Linked DNA regions of Anolis sagrei. The protein of the gene in region 3 purifies or fractionates together with the protein of the main gene of each other region. This does not show direct contact. Links are inferred from orthologs where the notes say so. Each region holds a gene or a part of one and is shown on either strand. Other genes may lie near its edges.

The links.
Region 1: the proteins of EXOC1 (region 3) and EXOC6 purify together in Homo sapiens (affinity purification with mass spectrometry; 4 studies listed by BioGRID and IntAct, counting the BioPlex papers as one, with this or other methods). This does not show direct contact. The link is inferred for Anolis sagrei from reciprocal best matches to the Homo sapiens genes EXOC1 and EXOC6.
Region 2: the proteins of EXOC1 (region 3) and EXOC7 purify together in Homo sapiens (affinity purification with mass spectrometry; 4 studies listed by BioGRID and IntAct, counting the BioPlex papers as one, with this or other methods). This does not show direct contact. The link is inferred for Anolis sagrei from reciprocal best matches to the Homo sapiens genes EXOC1 and EXOC7.

What each region holds. Positions count from the first base shown.
Region 1 is NC_090023.1:186,661,790-186,665,543, forward strand, and holds the start of EXOC6 (exocyst complex component 6), read right to left. Parts: upstream 2,665-3,754; 5' UTR 2,525-2,664; coding exon 2,403-2,524; intron 1-2,402. UniProt on the Homo sapiens protein: Component of the exocyst complex involved in the docking of exocytic vesicles with fusion sites on the plasma membrane.
Region 2 is NC_090022.1:118,826,798-118,830,551, reverse strand, and holds the start of EXOC7 (exocyst complex component 7), read left to right. Parts: upstream 1-1,458; 5' UTR 1,459-1,580; coding exon 1,581-1,640; intron 1,641-3,754. UniProt on the Homo sapiens protein: Component of the exocyst complex involved in the docking of exocytic vesicles with fusion sites on the plasma membrane.
Region 3 is NC_090025.1:73,466,218-73,469,971, forward strand, and holds the start of EXOC1 (exocyst complex component 1), read right to left. Parts: upstream 2,637-3,754; 5' UTR 2,539-2,636; intron 1-2,538.

The DNA.
Region 1 (3,754 bases), on a different chromosome or scaffold from region 3:
CAAAAGGTTGACAGATTGATTCAGGATGATCATAGTATCACTCAGAGAGAAATTTCAAGCATAGTTGGCATTTCAAAAGAACGTGTGGGTCACATTACTGCTTTGCTTGGCTATCGGAAGATCTGTGCACGATGGGTACTCAGGATGCTGACTCCTTAAATTAAAGCACACAGACTTGAAACTTCAGAGACTGGATCTCACCACCATATGACACCCTCCATACAGTCCAGATTTAGCACCGTCTGACTTCCATCTGTTCCCGATAATGAAAGAAGATCTGTGGGGACATCATTATGCTTCTGATGAAGACATTGAGACAACTGTGAGACGCTAGTTGCTGGTTGCGGAAACAGAACGTCGACTTCTTCCGTGACGGCTTGGTATTCTATTTCAATAATTGCCTATCGGCTTTCAACTCACCAGGACTACCAAGGCACTGTGCAATGAATATCTTCATTATTATCATTTACATGTTTTTAAGCAGTTCTAAACTTATGTTTTTAATAAGAATGTATGTGTGTGCTTGTGCACACACACACACAATGTATTTCACATTACTTTAGCTGTTATGTCGCTGTAATGTATTTTATAACCAAATGTTAGTCCCAAAGTGCATCAACACCGTAGAATTAATGCAGTTTGACACTACTTTAACATCCATGGCTCAGAGCTATGGAATCATGGGAGTTGTAGTTTTACAAGATCTATAGGAGCGGGACGCAGGGAGCACACAACGCCCTTGTTGTTCCAGCTCCACTGGCTGCCGATCTGCTACCGGGCCCAATTTAAGGTGCTGGTGTTGGCCTACAAAGCCCTAAACGGTTCCGGCCCAAATACCTTTCTGACCGCATCTCGACCTATGAGCCCACGAGGACCTTGAGATCGTCTGGGGAGGCCCTTCTCTCGATCCCGCCTGCCTCACAGGCACGTCTGGCGGGGACGAGGGATAGGGCCTTCTCGGTGGTGGCCCCTGCTGTGGAACACCCTCCCTGCAGACATCAGACAGGCGCCCTCCCTTATGTCATTCCGCAAGAGCCTAAAGACATGGTTATTTGAGAAGGCGTTTGACTAAGTGCCACAACAATTGGCAATGACGACTGGAACGGAATATGGATTACGAGTTTGGTTTATGATTCCAAGATGAGACGGCGCGGATGATTTAGTGTAATTTGTATTATTGTTGTTGTTGATATTTGTTGTGTTATTGCCTTATTGTAAACTGTTTTTATATGTTGTACACCGCCGGGAGTCGCCCTAGGGCTGAGAACGGCGGTCAACAAATGCAGTAAATAAATAAATAAATAAATATAGCTTTCCCTGTCAAAAAGTGTTGGCATCTCACCAAACTACAATTCCAAGGAAAAGTGGAATGGAGGAAACAGAAAAGAAATATGTTGAAAGTGAACAGTGAAGCATGCCCACCCTGGCAACAATAACTGCTGCAACCCTTTCTTATTTCTTATAAAATCCCATATTATGTGCTTTGAACTGGGCTATATGGCAGTATAGACTCAGATAATCCAGTTCAAAGCAGATATTATGAGTTATCTGCCTTGATATTCTGGGTTATATGGCTATGTGGAAGGGCCCTATGACAACTTTATGAAAACCTGGTACAAAAATGCTTCATCACCTTATTTACATTATATGATGATGCACAGATATTACAGGACAAATCAAGTGTCTTATACTAATAGTTTCTGCAGTGTAATCTTCTTCGTAAATCAATACACACAAGTACAGCTATGTTATTTTAAAATACTCCCATGAGCTACTATAAATAAACTCGAATATGATACCATGTAATCTGATATGCATTACGACAAAAAAAAATCATGAAGAGATTTGCCTTTTTTTGTTTGCTAATTGCTATATTTTAACACAGGGTAAGTTAATCTTCTATTACAAATATCAGATAATTCTGTATTTAATTATGTAGACTTATCTAGAAGCATGCATATGTTTAACAGGCAATTCGTATATGAAGTGCAACCCCTTCCCCCCAAAAACAACTGCATTATTTGTTTCTTTAGCATAAGAACGGAAGATATAAATATATCGTCATAAATCAACATTTCAGCTGTTAGTAAAAACCTGTTAGCCATACCACCACAAAGATAGACCTAAAACAAATAATTCCATCACACATTTTGATCAGAAATGGGAATGAGAAAAGTATTTTTTAAGAACAGCCTCTTAACATCCTGAACTTAAATGCTTTTCATCATAGTAATTGAAAACAAAGAATGCATTTTCAGCTTTGGGATGTCAACCTGTACAGGCTGGTTTATAACTAGGTCTGTTTTTATTAAAATAAGAAAATATAGTATAATTGCTCTGAATATTTTACAACAAACCCAGCGGAAGGAGCATAAAGTACATTCTTGGCAGGAGATACTCACCCTAAAGTGATTCCCAGGGGCAGCTCCAAGTATTTAATCTCACCAAGGACTGTTTCATACACATTATCTTTGTTTTCTTCCATGCAAAATCCATCTGTGTTAGGACTGGCATTGGCAGCCATGGTAAAGCACTAAACTGTTCCAGGCATAAAGGGAGGACCGTCTTCTTTTAATATCACCGGAATGAAAGACTCTCTCACCAGCAAAAGGAGAAAGCAAATCCTGATTTGACATTGGGCGTCCTGAAGACATTCTGCCCACAAGTGTGACACAGCTGTTGTCATCCAGCCTGCTATAAGTAGCCTTTTCCTTATGACCCCAGACTTGTTATGACGCCAGATCTGTTTCATGCCTACCTATTTTAATGCAGCCAAGAAGCAATCAATCAAAATGCTGGATGTTTATTTTATATAACCATAAAGCCTGGAAATGTTGGTAAGTTAGACTGCAACTCCCACCCACCTCCACCTGGTAGGGCCATCAATCATGTTAGATTGGCATTTTAGGAGTTATAGTGTTTGTTTATTTATTTATTTATTTGAAGCATTTCTACCCCACCTTTCTCCACAGCGCAGACCCAAGGTGGCATAGAGCATACCAGAATATAAAATCCATCAAACAGTTATACATAAAAGGTAAAACCTAATAAAACATAAATCAATAAAATTTATTTATTTATTTACCATATTTGTATACCGCCCTTCTCAGCCCGAAGGCAACTCGGGGCGTTCACAGTTGGCAACATTTGATGCCTCAAGAAATAAAACAATCATAAAATACCATTAAAAGCATTTATGTAAAATATAAAAATATAAAAACCGTACAAAGCCATAAAACCATTATTGTGAGCGCCTCCTTGTTAAAATCGTTATTCAATTGCATCATCAGGTCGTTCCATGATTTCGTATAATTATGCTGGATTAGCAAAAGCCTGCTCAAAAGCCAGGTTTAAACCTTTCTTCGAAAAGTCAGGAGGGAGGGGCCCTCTCTTATATCCCTGGGAAGGGCGTTCCACAATTGAGGGGCCACTACTGAGAAGACCCTATGTCTTGTCCCCGCCAAACACATCTGTGAGGAAGGTGGGACTGTGAGTAGGGCCTTTCCAAAAGATCTTCGTGTCCTAGATGGTTCATAAGGAGAGATACTTTCGGATAGGTAAGCAGATCCAGAACCACTTAGGACTTTATAGGCTAAAGCCAGCACTTTGAATTGTGCCCAGAAGCAAACTGGCAGCAGTGGAGCTGGCGCAACAGAGGAGTTGTGAGCTCTGTTCCTATTAACAACCTGAGATGGAGCCCCCGGTGGCGCAGTGGGTTAAACCGCTGAGCTGCTGAGCGTGTTGACCAAAAGGT
Region 2 (3,754 bases), on a different chromosome or scaffold from region 3:
TGAGTGTAAGAATTGGGGATTGGCCAAAGCAAACAAAGCATTCAACCTTTACTATTTCCCCCTCAAGATCAGCGCACAGGGACATCTAGTGGATAAGATATTTTGGATAAAGTTTTTTTAAAAGATGGACACTGCATTTCACTTGTTTCTTACCACATTTGTAGAATAAATAAATAAATAAATAAATGGTGGGATCACAAGTCTGAAAAAGTTACACAAAATCAAGACATCAATCTATTCCGGGACTTCTGAATTCAGACTGACAGAGTTTTGGAGCACAATACCCCTGACCTCACAATCCTGGGAAAAACAAAAAACAAAGTATGGATCACCGATGTTGCAATCCCAGGTGACAGCAGCATTGACGAGAAGCAACTGGAAAAGCTGACACAATATAAAGATTAAAAGATTGAAATGCAAAAACTCTGGCACAAGCCAGTCAAGGTGGTCCCAGTGGTGATCGGCACACTGGGTGCAGTGCCTAAAGATCTTGGCCTGCACTTAAAAACATTTGGCACTGACAAAATCACCATCTGTCAGCTGCAAAAGGACATCCTACTCAGATCTGCACACATTATTCGCTGATACATCACACAGTCCTAGACACTTGGGGAGTGTCCGACATGTGATCAAATACAAAAGCCAGCATGGCGAACTTGTTTAATGTGTTCTAATCTTTTTGTGTGTCTAATAATAATAATGATAATAATAATAATACATCAAACTGCAAAAACTCTGGCACAAGCCAGTAAAGGTGGTCCCAGTGATCTGGGACCTTGGCCTGCACTTAAGCCAGCATGGCGAACTTGTTTAATGTGTTCTAATCTTGTTGTGTTTCTAATAATAATAATAATAATAATAATAATAATAATCTTTATTTACATCCCACCACTTCTCCCCAAAACGACTTGGGGCAGCTAATCATCATCATAATAATAATAATAATAATCATCATCATCATAATAATAATAAACTTTATTTGTACCCTGCTACCATCTCCCCAAGGGACTTACAAAAGAAGAAACACAATAGAGTAATAGTAAACATACAACCAAATCAAACTTAATTCATAACATACTAATAAAATTCAGAAGGCTGTTAGGAATTGTGGGAGTTGAAGTCCAAAACACCTGGAGGGACAAAGTTTGCCCATGCCTGCTTTACAAGGTCTTTAGCCTTCTCTGCAAAAGACTGCTGGTATTTCATCAAGCTAAAAATCTCATGGTAGTTAAAGGAGTGTCAAACCGCATTTATTCTACAGTGCAGACACACCTTCAGGGATGGTTATTTTAGCACATTCCTCTCCTTGCGGGTCTCCCACTAGGGGGCGTTCGGCGCCTCGCCCAATAGGCTTGTGACATGCGCAGTAGCACTCCCTCTGACACTAGCTTTGCGGGTTCGACAGATTCGGAGGGCGCTCTTCCATTCGCCGGGGAATTTTCCCCTGCCTCTCTCAAGATGGCGACCTTCTCGGACCGGAAAAGGCGGGGAATGAGGCGGAAGTGGAGTGAGTGTTGACAGGAGCTGGAAGGCGCTTCAGCGGAGGCCTTGGAGCAGTCCAGGGCCGGCCTCGGGTCGGGATGATTCCCACGGAGGAGGCCTCGGCCCGGAGGAGAGAGATAGAGGAGAAGCTCAAGCAGGTGGGGCCTCAAGGAGGAGCAGGAGGCTGCAGCGCCATCAGCCCCCGGCCACGGCATTGAGTCATGAGGCTATACCAGGCCTGGGCAAACTTGGGCCCTCCCTCCAGGTGTTTTGGACTCCAACTCCCACCATTCCTAACAGCCTCAGGCCCCTTCCTTGAGGGGGAAAAGGAAAGGGCCTGAGGCTGTTAGGAATGGTGGGAGTTGCAGTCCAAAACACCTGGAGGGCCTAAGTTTGCTCAGGCCTGGACTATATTGTGTGTGTGAGGTGGAGGGTGTGTGTGTGTGCTTGTTTTCAGTCCTTTAAAGTATAACACAGGATTTGAATATATTTTAAGTGTTATGACTATGTTTAGGCAGATTTTTCATAATAGCAGCAGACTCTCAGTTAACTGGTACCAATGGGGATCAATATGAAAGTAGCTTCTGGTTGCTTGAGAGTTATTACTAAGAGCAGGCCTCAGTAATACTATGCCCCATACAATGCCATCCCATAAGCTCTATAACTGGATTGGTGTTAATATTGAAACACAATAATTGAAAGCATATTGAGACAGAAAGGGCAAATTTATTGTAACACAGTTTTATTGTTTTATGATATTCTAAAAACAGCATTTTTAAATTTAAAGTATTATTTCTTTTCTTTTTCTTTTTGTTGCTATCTGCCTGAGTGTTACAATTAATTGAGTTATTATTATGATTATGTTTATTTCTGATTAAAATGTTTAATTGTATGGTTTTAATTGTATTTGTTTATTTTTGTATTTATATGTATTTTCATAAAATTGCGGCCTGTTGTAAAGCCGCCCTGAGTCCCCTTTTAGGGTGAGAAAGGCGAGATACAAATATGTGAAATAATAAATAACAAATACCCCGCTTTTTCTCTCCATACGGCTACTCAAAGCGGATCACAACTAAAAGCATTGCAATACAGTCTAAAAATATACAAATATACAAGTATTAAAACAGTATTAAACATCATAAAAAGCATATAAAATCACAGCAGCCCCTGATGACCTTAAAAAACCTTCTTCTTTAAAAGCCTGCCTGACTAAAAAGGGTTTAACTTTCTGTCTGAAGGGGACTGTTCTGGCTTTCCTGGGGAGAAGGGAGTTCCAGGGTCGAGGGGCCGCCACCAAGAAGGAAGGCCTGTTCTCTTTCCCACCAACTGGACTTGAGATAGAGGTGGGACTGAGAGAAGGGCCTCTCCTGAAGATCACAGGGCCCAGGCAGGTTCATACAAGGGGATGTGGTCGGTCAAATAGCCTGGACTTGAACTGTCTAGGGCTTTAAAGGTCATAACCCGCACTTTGAATTGTGCCCGGAAACAGATAGACAGCAAGTGCAGCTTCTTCAACAGGGGGTTGTCAGCTCCTTGCAGCCAACCCCAGTGAGCAACCTGGCTGCAGCTCTTTGGAACAGCTGAAGTTTCCCAGCACTCTTCAGAGGCAGTTCCACGTAGAACGCATAACAGTAATCCAGATGGGATGTTACAAAGGCATGGACTACCGTGGCGAGATCTGGCTTCTCAAGGAATTAGCACACAAGTTTTAATTGTGCAAAGGTCCTCGCAGCCACTTTCAACACATGGACCTCCAGATCCAGGAGAACTCCCAAACTGCGGACCTATGTCTTCAGGAGAATGTGACCCCGTCCAGCACAAGCTGAATCCCTAGTCGCATAAGGCTGGAATGACTTGAAGGCACCCAGAAATAATAGAAGGTAGCTTTGAGTATAAAGGTGCCAGGATATACAGTGTAGTTGTTGAATCACAGAGTTGGAAGAAACCTCCCAAGGGCCATCCAGTCCAACCCCATTCTGTCATGCAGGAATATACAATCAAAGCACCCTGACAGATGGCAGTTCAATAAAGAAATAAATGACAAAAATGACAAAACCAATAGAAGTTGCACCTCTGGAGGATATCCAGAAGGCCCAGGTTGCCCTCCTAATTTGTTTGTTTGTTTTGGTATCCTGTTAGGCTTAGATGATCTTTCTGCTCTGTAATGGGATGTGTGTCCTCTGTTAATAGTGGGTGCCCCCCCCCCCCCGATTTACAAACTGCACCAAAAGCTAAAACAAGAAGAGAGCCAGAGTCCTATGCACAGTTATAT
Region 3 (3,754 bases):
TACCAAACTCTCCGTAACTCAGATGAATGAATTTTGTGGCTACATAACCTGTATTTTTTCCTTGAGCTTCCCTAAAAATGGGCCCTATATTTTATATGGACAGTTTTTAAATAAATGTTAATACACACACAAATATAGGGTGTCATATAAATGTAGGCTGTTAGGAATTGTGGGAGTTAAAGTCCAAAACACCTGGAGGGCCAACGTTTTCCCATGCCTAGGGTAGTGGTTTGAATGTGAGTTTCCAATCTCCCCTATTTGGGCAAAGTCATGGAATGTGTGGTGGCTTCACAACTCCAGGGGTTCTTGGTAGACACCGATTATCTATATCTGGCAGTCTGGCTTTAGGCCAGGACATGGAACCTAAATAGCCCTGGTCGCCTTAGTAGATGAACTACGCCGGGAGCTTGAGAGGGGGAGTGTGTCCGTTGGTTCTGCTGGACCTCTCAGCGGCCTTCGATACCGTTGACCACGGTATCCTTCTGAGATGCCTTACAAGAATGGGACTTGGAGGTACTGCTTTGCAGTGGCTCTGGTCCTTCCTGGAGGGACAGTCCCAGAAGGCGTTACTGGGTGACACCTGTTCGACTCCACAACCATTGTCTTGTGGAGTCCTTCAGGGTTCAGTATTGTCCCCGATGTTGTTTAACATCTACATTAAGCAGCTGGGGGAGATCATCTGGAGTTTCGGAGTGCAATATTATCTGTATGCAGATGACGTCCAAATCTGTCACTCCTTCCCACCCATTACTAAGGAGGCTATCCAGACCTTGAACCAGTGCTTGGCAGCTGTCGGACTGGATGAGGGCTAAGAAATTGAAATTGAATCCAGACAAGACAGAGGTCCTTCTGGTCAGTCGAAAGGCCAAACAGGGCATAGGGTTACAGCCTGTATTGGATGGGGTTACACTCCCTCTGAAGATGCAGGTTTGCAGCTTGGGAGTGATCCTGGATTCATCGCTTAGTCTGGAACCCCAGATCTCGGTGGTGGCCAGGGGAGCTTTTGCACAGTTAAAACTTGTGCGCCAGCTGCACCTGTATCTTGATCTGGCTACGGTGGTCCATGCTCTTATTACATCCCGAATAGATTAATTCAACGCACTCTACATAGGGCTGCCTTTGAAGACTGTTCAGAATCTCCAACTAGTCCAATGAGTGGCAGCCAGATTACTAACTGGAACGACATACAGGGAGCATACCACCCCCTTGCTGTGTCAGCTCCACTGGCTGCTGGTCCATTTCCGAACACAATTCAAAGTGCTGGTCTTGACCTATAAAGCTCTATATCAGGGGTCCTCAAACTTTTTAAACAGAGGGCCACGTCACAGTCCCTCAAACTGTTGGAGGGCCGGATTATAATTTGAAAAAAACATGAATGAATTCCTAAGCCCACTGCACATATCTTATTTGTAGTAGGGAAAAAAACTTTAAAAGAATACAATAATTGAAATGAAAAACAATTTCAACGAATATAAACTTATTACTATTTCAATGGGAAGTGTGGTATTGCTTTTGGCTGATGAGATATGATTGTTGTTGTTTTCTGCTTTCAAGTCATTTCAGACTTAGGTTGACCCTGAGCGAGGGCCGGGTAAATGACCTTGAAGGGCCGTATCCAGCCCCCGGGCCTTACTTTGAGGACCCCTGCTCTATATGGTTCTGGCCCAGCTTACTTGTCCGAACGCATTCCACCTCGCAGTTTAAGATCATCTGGGGAGGCCCTGCTTTTTCTCCAGCCAGCGTTGCAAATGCATCTGGTGGGGACAAGAGACAGGGCCTTCTCGGCTGTCGCTCCCCGTCTGTGAAACTCGCTTCCCAACGAGATAAAATCGGCCTCATCCCTCCTGTTTTTTTTAGGAAGAAATTAAAATCATGGTTCTGGGACCAGGCTTTTGGACAGCAGGCATAATAGCACTTTGGATGTGGAATTCGACTGGAATGGTGATATGCCTGACATTACTGTTTTTATGGTTGTAATTAATGCTTTACTTATTGTTTTAATTGTTGTTTTATTGTATTGTTATATGTAACGGCATCAAATTGTTGCCAAGTGTAAGCCGTCCTGAATCCCCCTTTGGGGGTTGAGAAGGACGGGGTAAAAGTGCTAGAAATAAATAAATGTTGGATTATGGATAGAACCATACTGTCGAATCAATGCAGATGGTTATGCAATCTTTTTTAGTTTGTTGAGGCACCAGCCCTCTCAGGCAAAGAAGGCTAAAGACATTGTAAAACTACAACTCCCATAATTTCATAGTAGTTAAAGTTCAAGTGGTGTCAAATGCCTTATTTCTTCACTGTGAAGGCCATGGCAAACCCAGTGGGAGGCCTTAGGCCTGTCACACCCTCTCAGCCTCAGAGGAAGGGAAGGCCTCTTCTAAGCAAACCTTGGGGAGAAAAAGACTCCAACGAACATAACACACATTTGGAGAGAGAGGATGAAGAAGATAAAGGAAAACAAGGGGAAGGGCTTTACAACAGAAAGCCCTCTGGCTGGCCTGGCACAGGGCCCTTCCCTCCCCGCCCTGCTCTCCTTACCCTCAGAGCCAGGACTGAGGCCCCTCCGCTGCCTCCAGAGACGCCTGTCACGCCCAGCCCCGAAAGACCCGCCTCCCCATCCCCCGTCTTCCAATCGCAGCGCCTGCTTCAGTCGCGTGGGCAGGGCAAGGAAGCGGAAGTCCATGCAGACTGTGGAGACGGGGAAAAGGGAGAGACGAGTTTCTGGCGCTAGAGAGGGACGCACATTGGAACTTCCGGTGCTGGGTGTCTCTCCTCACTTCCGGTCGTGGCAGAGCCTTGCGGGAAGGAGCAAAGGATGCAGTTTCTGAGTTGTTGTAGGATTTTTTCGGGCTATATGGCCATGTGGTTCTCAACCTGGGGTCTCCAGATGTTTTTGGCCTACAACTCCCAGAAATCCCAGCCAGTTTACCAGCTGTTAGGATTTCTGGAAGTTGAAGGCCAAAAACATCTGGGAACCCCAGGTTGAGAACCACTGTGAGGCATTCTCTCCTGAAGTTTCGCCTGCATCTATGGCAAGCATCCTTAGAGGTTGTGAGGCCTCTTTTTTTTTTTTTTTTTGCAGTTTCTCTTTTGCAAAGGAGGCAGTTTGACATCCTCAGCCCCTTCCATACAGCTGTATAAAGTCCCACATTATCTGCTTTAAACTGGAATATATGGCAGTGTAGACTCACTTAGCCCAAAACTATCTTGACAGTGTATTGTTGAAGTATTGTCGAAGGCTTTCATGGCTGGAATCACTGGGTTGTTGTAGGTTTTTTCGGGCTATATGGCCATGGTCTAGAGCATCATCATCATCATTTAATAACTTATGAATCGCCCTCCATCCGAGAATGCTCTAGACGATTTACAGCTAAATTATAAAAGATAAAATACATACATACAAAAATTAAGAATTAACAGATCGAATGCTCTAGTAAAACGCCAGGTCTTAAGTGCGAGAGTAAAAGGCCCTAAGTCACGCATGGCTCTTATGTAGGGCGGCAAGGAAGAGCAGTGGTTCTCAACCTGTGGGTCCCCAGGTGTTTTGACCTACAACTCCCAGAAATCCCAGCCAGTTTACCAGCTGTTAGGATTTCTGGGAAATGAAGGCTACGACATCTGGGGACTCACAGGTTGAGAACCACTGGTCTAGAGGCATTCTCTCCTGACGTTTCGCCTGCATCTATGGCAAGCAGCCTCAGAGGTAGTGAGGTCTGTTGGAACTAGGAAAAATGGTTTATATATCTGTGAAATG